Linked DNA regions of Arabidopsis thaliana. The protein of the gene in region 1 interacts with the protein of each later gene in a pairwise test. Each region holds a gene or a part of one and is shown on either strand. Other genes may lie near its edges. The genes, in order: BEE2, AT4G30410 and AT1G35560.

What was found.
Region 2: the proteins of BEE2 (region 1) and AT4G30410 interact in binary tests that used the Arabidopsis thaliana proteins (3 or more experiments, as listed by UniProt).
Region 3: the proteins of BEE2 (region 1) and AT1G35560 interact in binary tests that used the Arabidopsis thaliana proteins (3 or more experiments, as listed by UniProt).

The regions. Positions count from the first base shown.
Region 1 is NC_003075.7:17,241,651-17,245,410, reverse strand, and holds BEE2 (BR enhanced expression 2), read right to left. Parts: upstream 1,829-3,760; 5' UTR 1,713-1,828; coding exon 1,422-1,712; intron 1,337-1,421; coding exon 1,157-1,336; intron 1,065-1,156; coding exon 858-1,064; intron 774-857; coding exon 633-773; intron 542-632; coding exon 446-541; 3' UTR 115-445; downstream 1-114. Other genes in the region: AT4G36550 (ARM repeat superfamily protein), read left to right, coding at 1-11; AT4G36530 (alpha/beta-Hydrolases superfamily protein), read left to right, coding at 3,641-3,740. UniProt on the Arabidopsis thaliana protein: Positive regulator of brassinosteroid signaling.
Region 2 is NC_003075.7:14,870,525-14,874,284, reverse strand, and holds AT4G30410 (sequence-specific DNA binding transcription factor), read left to right. Parts: upstream 1-2,017; 5' UTR 2,018-2,433; coding exon 2,434-2,976; 3' UTR 2,977-3,301; downstream 3,302-3,760. UniProt on the Arabidopsis thaliana protein: Functions redundandly with IBH1/BHLH158 in a regulation node known as the incoherent feed-forward loop (FFL).
Region 3 is NC_003070.9:13,115,570-13,119,329, reverse strand, and holds AT1G35560 (TCP family transcription factor), read left to right. Parts: upstream 1-2,094; 5' UTR 2,095-2,205; coding exon 2,206-3,231; 3' UTR 3,232-3,504; downstream 3,505-3,760.

The DNA.
Region 1 (3,760 bases):
AGAAAAAATAGAAAGAAGCATAAGATACATTATTAGGCTGGATTTAACTTAATTTTTGAGAAATTTTTTTGATTTTTTTTTTGGCTCTCTGTTTGTTGGCTTAGGTTTGTATATGTTGATACCAGGCCAAAAGGCATCTCCATTAATACAAGTGTAGTTGTAATTTGTGAAGGAAATAATTGTTACGACCACAAGAGTTTGATTCTACAATGTACAAAAAAAGGAATTGCTATGACCACAAGAGTTTTTTCTCTTTCTTCTACACATATACATATCCCCTGGAATATATGTAAATCACTATATTTGTATGAAGATAATAGATTGAGAAAGATCTTTGGATTGGTTTCCTCTGTCTCTTTTGGTTCAAATTTCAGATAAGATAGATAAATGGATAAGACAACAACAAAAAACCGCGATTTTTTTAATGAGGCTATCCCTAATTTTTTTACTTGAGGCTGAAGAAATTGGAAACAGAATCGGTTCTCAAGCTGTTGTAAAGACACTGTGAGTGAGTTTCCCAGCTTGATGATGTATGATCTTTCTGCAAAACAGAATAAGAAATAAGTTACTTCACGGACAAGTAACAAAAAATTGGGACTAATGAAAGATTTGTCTGAGATAAAGATTATTACAGCGCCGAGAGATGTGGTGTGGTCTGAGTTTATGACTGAGTAATCTAAAGATCCTTGCTGATGTAATGGAAAAGACCGAAAATCCGCCATGATTGACTGCTTCGAGTCACCTTCTGGAGGACCTGTGAAGTAAGCCTGAAACTAGATTCCAATATTTAACCAGTCAATAAATGCGGTAATTAAACTCTTGGTTAGTTCTTGGGATGAAAACTGACTATTATTCACCTGTTTTGCGGATAAATCATCGATATGACACTCAAGTTCTGGATTTATGACAGAGAGTTTCATCGACAAGAACTCGACTTGTTGTTGCAGAGATTGGACATAGTTGATGATCTCATCAAGCATACCAGCTTTTCCAGTAACTTTGTTGCATCCAGGAACAATATCTTGTAGACATTTCATCTTCTTGCTTATCTTTTCTCTTCTTGCCTGCCAAAATCCCACAAATATAAAACCACTCAAATCTCTAATGAAAGTAATTTCTCTGAAACCTATTTAACAACAACACTTTAGTTAATTACCCTCTCTGCTAAGCTATGTCTGTCGGTGGCTTCACCTCGTCTAGCCCTAACATGAATGTAATCTGGTTTCTGAATTTCTGAAGATGTCTCTGTGTTACTCATGTTTGATTTCCCTTTCATGCTTGGCTCTGTTTCATCCTCTGCTTTGATCTTCTTCTTCTCTCTCTTTTCTGTCTTACCCTAAAACCAATAGTTAAAACGATCAGAAACAATGTTTCAAACAAAATCTAAACTCTAATACTCAATACTTTCTTGAGCTACAAACCTCTGGTTTTCTCTTGTTCTGCAAGGTAATGGCTCTGCTGTGTCCATTATTCTTCACTGGCTCCATATGGAAGCTACTTGTCCTAGAAATGCAGCCATCAGTAGTATCATAATCCGGTCCGAATTCGGGAAAATGTCTGAAACTCTGCAGCTCATCATTGTTGTTTCCCAAGTAACTCTCAACTCTTTTGAGCTCTTCTCTCCCATCTGAGCCAAGTATCTGAAGAAACTCAGGTGAAACCATTTGTTGCTGTTGCAGCCACTTAAGCCTATCAAGTACAGACAAGTCCATGAAGAGAAGGTAAAAAAAAAACTTTAAAAGGCTCTTATCTTTTCTTTGAGGGGGTTAAAGCAAAAGAGAAAAAGAGAGAGTTAAGTTATATATGTGTGGAAGAAAAGTAATCCATTAGATATAATTATTCTTAGCTTTAAATAGAAAGCAACATTGACCCACACACATGAGATTCGAAATCTAGTGAGAGAGGGACAAAATTGATAAAAGTGGAGGAGGTTGGGGACAAAGAAGGTGAGATGAGAAGTTGTGGGGTCTAATTGACATAACCTACCATGTGGTCATGTCCTTATGAACATGAGATGAGGAGTCTCTTAAGTTAGTCTCTTTTGTGTCTTTTCTCTGTGTTTTTTTTTTTCCTTTTGGCCTTTCAAGTTTTTGAGAGGATCTTTTTGTTTGGCAACAATAATCAAACTTTGTAAAACTTAAGGTTCATGAGGGTATTATCATATAAATATCCTCTTTTGTAAAATCAAATCATTGAGTTTTTGGTAAGACAACCTTCTAATTGTACCAATTTGTTTTGTTAGAGAGAGAGAGAGAGAGGGTCTTTCTTAGGCTTGAAGGTGGAGAATGTGGGGAATGTGAATTATGAATCTTAACTTGCAAATGAATAGAAACAATGGTTTGAATCATGAGTGATATCATTTCAATGTCTTGTTGTGAATCTATACGTGATCCTTGTGACGTATGATTACTACCCTTCATCAATCCATAGATTACACCAATAATTTAAGTGGATTTCATATATTAGAGAGATGGCAACTCGATGAATATATGACATATTATAATATCACATATTATAATTCATAACTGATAGGGACACAAAATAAGCGACCTAAAGAAGAAAATGGGTTTGAAGATAAGTGATAGGAAGGTAGGCGACACCATTGCTTTTGATCTAAGTGTTTGGTCCCTATACTTTCTTTTTTTCCCTATTAATTATATATCTATACATTATCTATAATGCGTGACATAATTCAAGAGAATCAATACTATTTCGATTTTTTTTTTTTGAAGAACTTGAAAAAATATATCCAAAATTAGACCGATTTCAATAACACACCGTACAGGTTGCTTTGAGGTTTCCATTTCATTGGTTCTTTGGGAAACATCAATAACAAGCTGCTTATGAGATGAGAAGAGTAAATGCTTCAAATGCCAAAATACTTAACGTTGAGAGTATCTGTTGTTTTTTGCAATTTCCACAAAAAAGTTTTAGAAAGTTTTTGATTCAATGGGTTTCAGGATGTATTCTTTTGTAAAGAAGTTTGTGTCAATGCATTCATGTTGCAATTAGGCATTTTGTCGAATCACGAAAACGGAAGGAACACTCGTATTCGTCACATCAAAGTATAAGGCCCTAGATCGTGTGTATCACGTCTCTAATTTGCTTACTTACAAAACTGTGTTGTTTGCTCTTTTCACTAATGATGGATCTATGTGATAACAGGAATCACATTCCACGTCAATTATTTCTGTTTACTTCAAAAGAATGTCACACCTATGCAACAGTGAGACAAGATCTGAGGAAGAGAGTTAGAGAACATGAAATTTAAGAAAGAGTGCTTCAATATCTTGTTGTGTACAAATCAATAGTTCTGTTTGATAATATCAACTTGACAGCTTTTGTCAAAATGATGAGTAAAAAATCAGGATCTTTGGGACAAATACGGCTGAACCGGCCGGTTTAGCTAAGTCGAAATTACCGGCCTAATCGTTAAACCATAAAAACCGCAACTTTCAGAAACACTCTGCTTCGTCGAGCGGATTCGACTTGTCTGGCTCAGGGGTCGCCACAACTCTCCCGCAAGTTCACACATACACTCGGTGCTCAAAAAGTTTGTCCTTTTTGCATCTCTCAGTTCTGAAATATCTGGTTCTCTTGTCCTTGAAAATTTTACGAGGTTGTTCTCTGTGAATAATCGATGTCTGCTTCATGTGCTTTAACACCGTCTGTTAGGACAGAGTTATTCAGTTCATCATCATCTAAAAGATCAATCTTTCCTGCTAGAATTTGTCGACCAAGTAAGATTCAACTCCAACCT
Region 2 (3,760 bases), 2.4 Mb from region 1:
ATGTTACATTTTATATACACTTTGATAAAACTATTTGTTTTACATATAATTCTGTTTTGCATCAATGGACTCTCACTATTGCATCTTGTGAACTCGTCTGTTTTATTCCCCATGATGAGTGATGAAACCATCAGCCACGCCACCAATGATCTCAAACATTATTTTTATATTATAGTTACATCTGTCAACACTCAACAGTAACATCAATGTATTGTTCTGCAATGTCATCTCACATATCTTTTGCAAATTCAAAAAGTACGAGATATCTCTCTGTAGATCAAGACCATTTGGTGTTCTTTGATTCAAGACACTAGAAACAATTTGATTGTACTATAAATCCTCAATTTTTGGAAGTTTATCAACTGTTAGGACAATCGACCTGTCAGTAAATCTGAATTTCTTATATGATAGTAAATGATTTTAAAACATATCACAGCCGTCAATCAGAGAGACTGTGAGAGTCACCGTTGAAAATCACTCTTTGGTGAGTGAAAAAATGTAAAAGTAAAAGAACCAATGGGTAAGGGTCCCTCCACGTGTGCACATGCGCTTCGGTGGACGCGTGCATGCAAGAGTGTTGCCACATTAACGACGTCGTAGAATGTGATTAAGGGCACAAAACATTTTAATCAAAGAAAATTTGACTGATGGTGACGACAATGAGATGGTGGGCGTGTAGAGTTCGGAGAATGATTGTTGAGATTCCCGTAAATTACGGAGGTCCATTGGAAAACAAATCCCCGCACCAGAAGATCCATGTTCGATGTATTTTGTTGGAGAAAAAAAGCTAATTTTAATATCAAAAATATTTCTCTTTCGATAGTTGTATATATTTATCGAACATCAACTTTTATATTCATGTACATCTATCAATATCATTTTTTCGTTTTCTGAATTAAATTGACCAATATAAATGAATTATTATTGTTTCTTTTTCCTTTTTATCAACAATTATTATTGTTTCTTTTTTTCTTTTTCAAAACCAGGCTTTCCCAAAGTTTGCGGATCGCCACGTTTTAACCACTAACACCATATTGATGTTATTTGTTGTATGTGTATAAAAAAAGTTATGGCACAGTTAATGTGTTGACCATGCTTTTCATATTTGATACCTAGTTGTGAATGTATCACTGTGAAGCATCAAAAAGAAGATGAAATAATGCACCGTATAACCAAGGTGTGCACTGTGCAATGCAATGCATCATAAATTTCTCAAATTCTGTTTTTTGTATGTAAATTATTGACGTATAATGGTAAATATGATTAATAGATTCACTCATTGTTCGACAATAATCAAACTGAATATTGCTCGATAATAACTGAACATATTACATTAACAAATTACGCACTCACAATCGTCAGAACCAGCCATTATTCTCAGCTATACATTCTATATCATTTGTTATCTTTTTATAACCTTAGGTGATTTAGGTGATCCAGGTCACGGTAAGTATATATAGATTATAAACTTTTATGGAAGACTGATGACTCAATCTACAACATTGGAGAACCACAACTTTTTAATCTATACTTTACGTTCTTTAACATTTAAATTTCAAAACTGAGATGGACTTTTTTAGTTATTATATATGTTCTAACTAAGTAATGACACCAATTCAAAGATAATCTAGATTATTTAGCGTGCTTATATAGGCCTTTATTTGCTTGGCGACAGCGCTGACTGATAAGGTTGTCAGATAGAGAATTACATGTTAAATCAAATATGTGAACATACATTACATACATATATATACGAGTGATGAGATCATTATATATCACGGATTCACGGAGTGTGAAAAAAAAAACCAAATGAAGCTACGCAGTTGACAGAAAACAAACGAAAGATACACAAAAAATGTTTTTTTTTTCATAAAATCCTCATAATTGCAAAACTTAAAACATCAAAACGTATATATATCATCACAAATTTTCGGCGGAAACAAATAATAATGGACAAAAGTTTCCTAAATTATAGGGTAATACAAAAGGGTACGTGGGCCATTCGTAGCATGTGCATGCATGTGCTTCTCCTATCTCCTATTGCCCCCACCATTTTCCCTCTCCTTTTGAAACAATTAAAATGGACCCTTTCCTTCTCCTTTCTCTCTCCCTTACCTCTCTGTCTCTTTCCCTCTCTCTCGTCGAATTCACGAATTCGTGAGGTGACCGCAGATTTGTTCTTAGCAATCTTTGACGACACTAGAAGTAAACAAATTCTTAAAAAGGTATGTGTTCATGTCTCTTCTGGTTATAATAAGGAACCCTAAACGGGGAAAAAATCCAGTTTGGTTATGATTTGATGTATATTAGTATATTACATACATGTATCCCTTTGATGTATAAAGACATCATGGTTTATTACTTAGGATTAACTTACTTTTTCTTGAAAAATGACTCATAATTGAGTATATTTCTACTTGATTAGGATTTAGGATGCAGCCTACGAGCTCAATGAATGAAGAATTCCTAAAGAAATGGCAAATGGGTCTTCAAATATTCCGTCCTTCGATAGACAACACGAGCGTCCACGAGAGAAAAAAAGCAATAAAGCTCTCTGCAGACGTTGCAATGGCGTCTCTAAGAAAAGGAACAACTTGTTGGAGCCGAGCCCTAATCGAGAAAACCGCCACCGAGGACAATTTCCTCGTACGTCAGATGCTTTCCGGCATCAAAGCGGAAACGTTAATCAACAAGAAGTTGCCTAAGAAGACTGTGTGTCATAGGAAGATCGTGAGGCGAAGCAAGAAGATCTTGAGGAGGAAATCGAAATCAGCGAGCGAAGAGGCTGCAGCAAAAGCTAAGAGACTCGTCAAGAGACGGACTCAAGGATTAAGAAACGTTGTACCTGGTGGTGAGTTGATGAGCAATGACGTCTTGTTGCTTCAAGAAACGTTAGATTACATTGTGTCGCTTCAAACGCAAGTAAATGTTATGAGAAGTATTGTTGATGCTGCCGAGGCCGAAATTGAGAGATAAATGATAAAAAAAAATCTTGTTTTATTTTTTTATCTGCGGAGATTAGTTGCGAAAGCATGATGTCGATCGGATCTTGTTGTTGGTCATTAGAACCGTATGTTATTCGGACAATGCAATTGTCATACGAGGATGGAGAGATATTATAGTAAGCCATTTTGTACATAAGGAAATTTATACAATGCTTATAGAAAGTTTCTGCTACGTGATGGTGGTTTTTATTGGAACATTTCTTGGCAAATTTTTATTTTTTTTGAATTTAATTTAGTTAATGTGAGTGAATTTTAAGATATTTTTAACGCTTCGATTGCTTTTCTTGGCATGTTTTTATTTGAGAGAAAAAAATAGACAAATGTTATTTTATATTATAGATATCTGGTTCAGTTTTATTACAACTCACTCGTATTGGATAGCTCATTTGACATGTCAACCCAAAACAAATGATATATACTAGCTCATGTGAGTTTTTTTTCTGTTTTTTTTTTTCAGATTTTCAATGTTAATTAGCTCATATGAGTTGTCCAATATATATTTGACTCTTTGCTTATGTTTTTTTTTGGGTTAAAGACTTGGTTTGAAAGGATAGTACTAGTCTACTAGAACAAAACAACCAATAAGACAGCACGTGTAAAAATCAGTCTTTTTCGTATATACTCCATGTTTCATCAATCAGCATCATTTAGTATTCAGCTAAGGAAGAAGACGCTTAATGGCAACGAGGAAAAAAAAAACGTACATATTCACGTTCATTTTTTTCCTAGCTAAATTAATTAACACCGTTCAAAGA
Region 3 (3,760 bases), on another chromosome or scaffold:
GAGAAGTGAAAGGTTGAGGAAACTTTTTACAAGAAATGTAAAATGGGATGAGTGAAATTAAAGGGAATGAAAGAGAGTAGAATTGTTTTTTGGATGAGAACTCATGAGATCATACCTACACACAAGACCAACCCAAAGCTAAAACCTGTAAAGCATGGGCTTTTTAGGCAGTAGATGATTCTAAAACAATTTAAAAGCACCATTTTAGAGATATATATGGTCGAAGAGTGATTAACACTTTCACTCTCTCACCATTTTATTTTATTTTTAACGTCTTGCCTACACATTTAAAACATTAATTGGTTGATACTTTTATACTTTTTTAAGCAATTAAAATAATTTATTTAAAAATAAATGTATATAAAAAAATATTAATAGTTTATTTCTTAGATACTCAATGAGTCTCCATCCAATGAAGGTGCTCTAACAGAATCTTGAACAAGGCTACATACTATATGGTCTTGTAAATGAACATTTTCACTTTTTGGAGAGAACAGAGACAAGACAATGGACCGTGGGAGGATCCAGAGTTTCAGACCAAACATCACGTTTTTTTATCACTCGCTTCTTGTACTTCTTCAACTATCTCTGACTGTTTTACTGTTTTCTTTCACTGCTAATGCTTACACGTGCATCTGTCTCAACAATTATTTTTCAGGAAAATAAAAAATAAGAGAGATTATATATACAGTTCAAAATATAATTGCATATATATATATATATATATATATAAATTATATAAAATATACTGTTCAAATATAAAGTTTTTTTTATAGTGGTTTGGTTTCACTTTCATTGTTATCTATAATTTAGCTCACGGTGCGTACATGTAACTTACATTAAGAACAGCCAAAAAGCTCAAGCTCGTGTCCAAATTAAGATTCCGAATGGTATAGCTAGCAATATAATATATTATATGGTTTTGGATTGATAAAAACATAAAACCTAATAAAGGAATTTAATTGATATAAAAAATGAAACAATAATACAGTCTAAATATTCAATTATGAATTAAAATATTGCAATAAATCAGTTAATAGGCATTAATACTAATATGATTATACATACATGGTTAATCACTAAGAGCAACGTGAATATCAATAAACTAATTGATTTACTACGCTTGCATAATTATTTTCCTTAAAACTTTTTGATTTCGAATACTTTGTTAACACCCTGATACATGTGCATATAACATAGTAGGCTGAAATTGGACTATTCTTAGACAGTTTTCACATCTAGAATGAGATGTATAGGTTTCGTTGAGAAAAATTGTAGTTGAGATGATTAGTTATATATAACCTATGTCTGTGGGTGCTAATTTGGCAGATGGGAAAAGAATTGAAGCCTTTATATATAGTCTTCAATTATTAGTATCATCGTTAATAAAAACAGTGGTCCTTATCTCTCAACAAGTCTTTCATCAAATTCGGATAACAAAGACAAAATAGAGAATCAAAGAAAGAGACATTTGTGTTATTATCAGTAAATTATTAAAAAAATAAATAATATTAAAACACTATTATATTGGGTGTAAATTGGCTCTATGATTAGTGATTAGTTTTTTTCTTTTCCCCCATAGAACATTCAACGTTTCCCACCCATGCAAAATCCAACCTAAAAGCCAAACTTTATAAGGAAACCAACAAATAGATCCCTACAATCTAAAGATTGCAACAAAAATGCCCCAAAATTATAATCTTAGACAATCCACACCTTTTTCAATCATGTAAAACACTTCCAAACTTTTCATAGTCCATTGCTAAAAATAGTTTTAGTCTCACAAAGTTAGACCAAAATTCAATACATTCGGCGCATAATTATTTTTATACTACAATATAGTAAGTGTGATAATAACCAAACAAAAAAAGGTTAAGTGATCATTTGGTGTGGAAACAGCAAATATTGGTCTCTACTCTCTACTACAAAAACCTAGTGGGACTACAAATGAAAATAAAACACAAAAGAAAAAGAAAGTGAAAGTCTCTCTCTCTTTTCTACAAGCTGCTTCATCTTCTTCCTCTCACTCTCTCTTTCTCCAAACAAGTAAACAACAGTCAACACAAACTCATAGCCCCACCAGAAAAAAAAAATACTCCAAGAATTTATAGGTTATAAGTAAAAATTCAGTACAAGTTTGTTTGTTTGTTTATTCCATTTTCTTGTGTGTTTTTTTCCCCATAATTTATAAATTTTATAAGCAATATGGAGTCCCACAACAACAACCAGAGCAACAACAACACCACTGGTTCGGCCCATCTGGTCCCATCCATGGGACCAATCTCCGGTTCAGTCTCATTAACCACCACTGCTCCAAACTCCACTACCACCACCGTCACCGCCGCTAAAACACCCGCAAAACGACCGTCCAAGGACCGTCACATCAAAGTAGACGGACGTGGCCGGAGGATACGTATGCCGGCTATCTGCGCAGCACGTGTCTTCCAACTAACACGTGAGTTACAACACAAATCGGACGGCGAGACTATAGAGTGGCTGCTCCAACAAGCGGAGCCAGCTATCATCGCAGCCACCGGAACTGGAACCATACCGGCGAATATCTCTACTTTGAACATCTCTCTTCGAAGCAGTGGCTCTACTCTTTCAGCTCCACTGTCTAAATCTTTCCACATGGGAAGAGCGGCTCAAAACGCTGCCGTTTTTGGGTTCCAGCAACAGCTTTATCATCCTCATCATATCACGACAGATTCTTCTTCTTCTTCTCTTCCCAAAACATTCCGTGAAGAAGATCTTTTTAAAGATCCTAATTTTCTAGATCAAGAACCCGGTTCAAGATCACCTAAACCGGGATCCGAAGCTCCTGATCAAGATCCGGGTTCGACCCGGTCAAGAACACAAAATATGATACCGCCGATGTGGGCACTAGCGCCAACGCCAGCCTCCACAAACGGAGGTAGTGCTTTTTGGATGTTACCAGTCGGAGGAGGAGGAGGTCCGGCTAACGTTCAGGATCCATCACAGCACATGTGGGCGTTTAATCCGGGTCATTACCCGGGTCGAATCGGGTCGGTTCAGCTAGGGTCTATGTTAGTGGGAGGTCAACAGTTAGGGTTAGGTGTTGCAGAAAATAACAATTTGGGGCTATTTTCCGGCGGAGGAGGAGACGGTGGTCGGGTTGGTCTCGGAATGAGTCTTGAGCAAAAGCCTCAACATCAAGTGAGTGATCATGCTACTAGAGACCAAAATCCTACTATAGATGGTTCTCCTTGAAAGACTTCATGATTTCTTTGGTTTTTAAAAAGTGTGAATGTGTGATTTATTGCAACTTTTGTTGAGGACTCCAATGTTAATATGGGTTTTAGGGTTGGCTTTTCGGGATTGCCAAATTGTTATTTAAGAAAATGGATTTATTGTTTTGGTTGCATAATAATTAACGAGTTTTGCAACTCTTTTTATTCGATGCAAAAGCATGTCACTTAAAGGAAATATAGTTGAATCTCTATGTGTAACATAATGGACAAAAGAATAAATTAAATATTTATCAGAATGCCTTTTCTCTTTTGTTGAAGGGTATAATTGAATACACCTTCTTTGACCGCTCATATATTTCAAATATTTCGAATTGATTGCAGTTCGTAAAAAGCTAACGAATATAAATAAAAAATTATATGGTGTAGACTGTAGTGATAAACTTTATTGGGTGCATGAGCACCACATGTTTGGATACAAATGGGTTTTTAGATTTATATATTAATTCTCTTTTAAAATTCGTATTTTGTCTATCATACTTTTGTAGTAT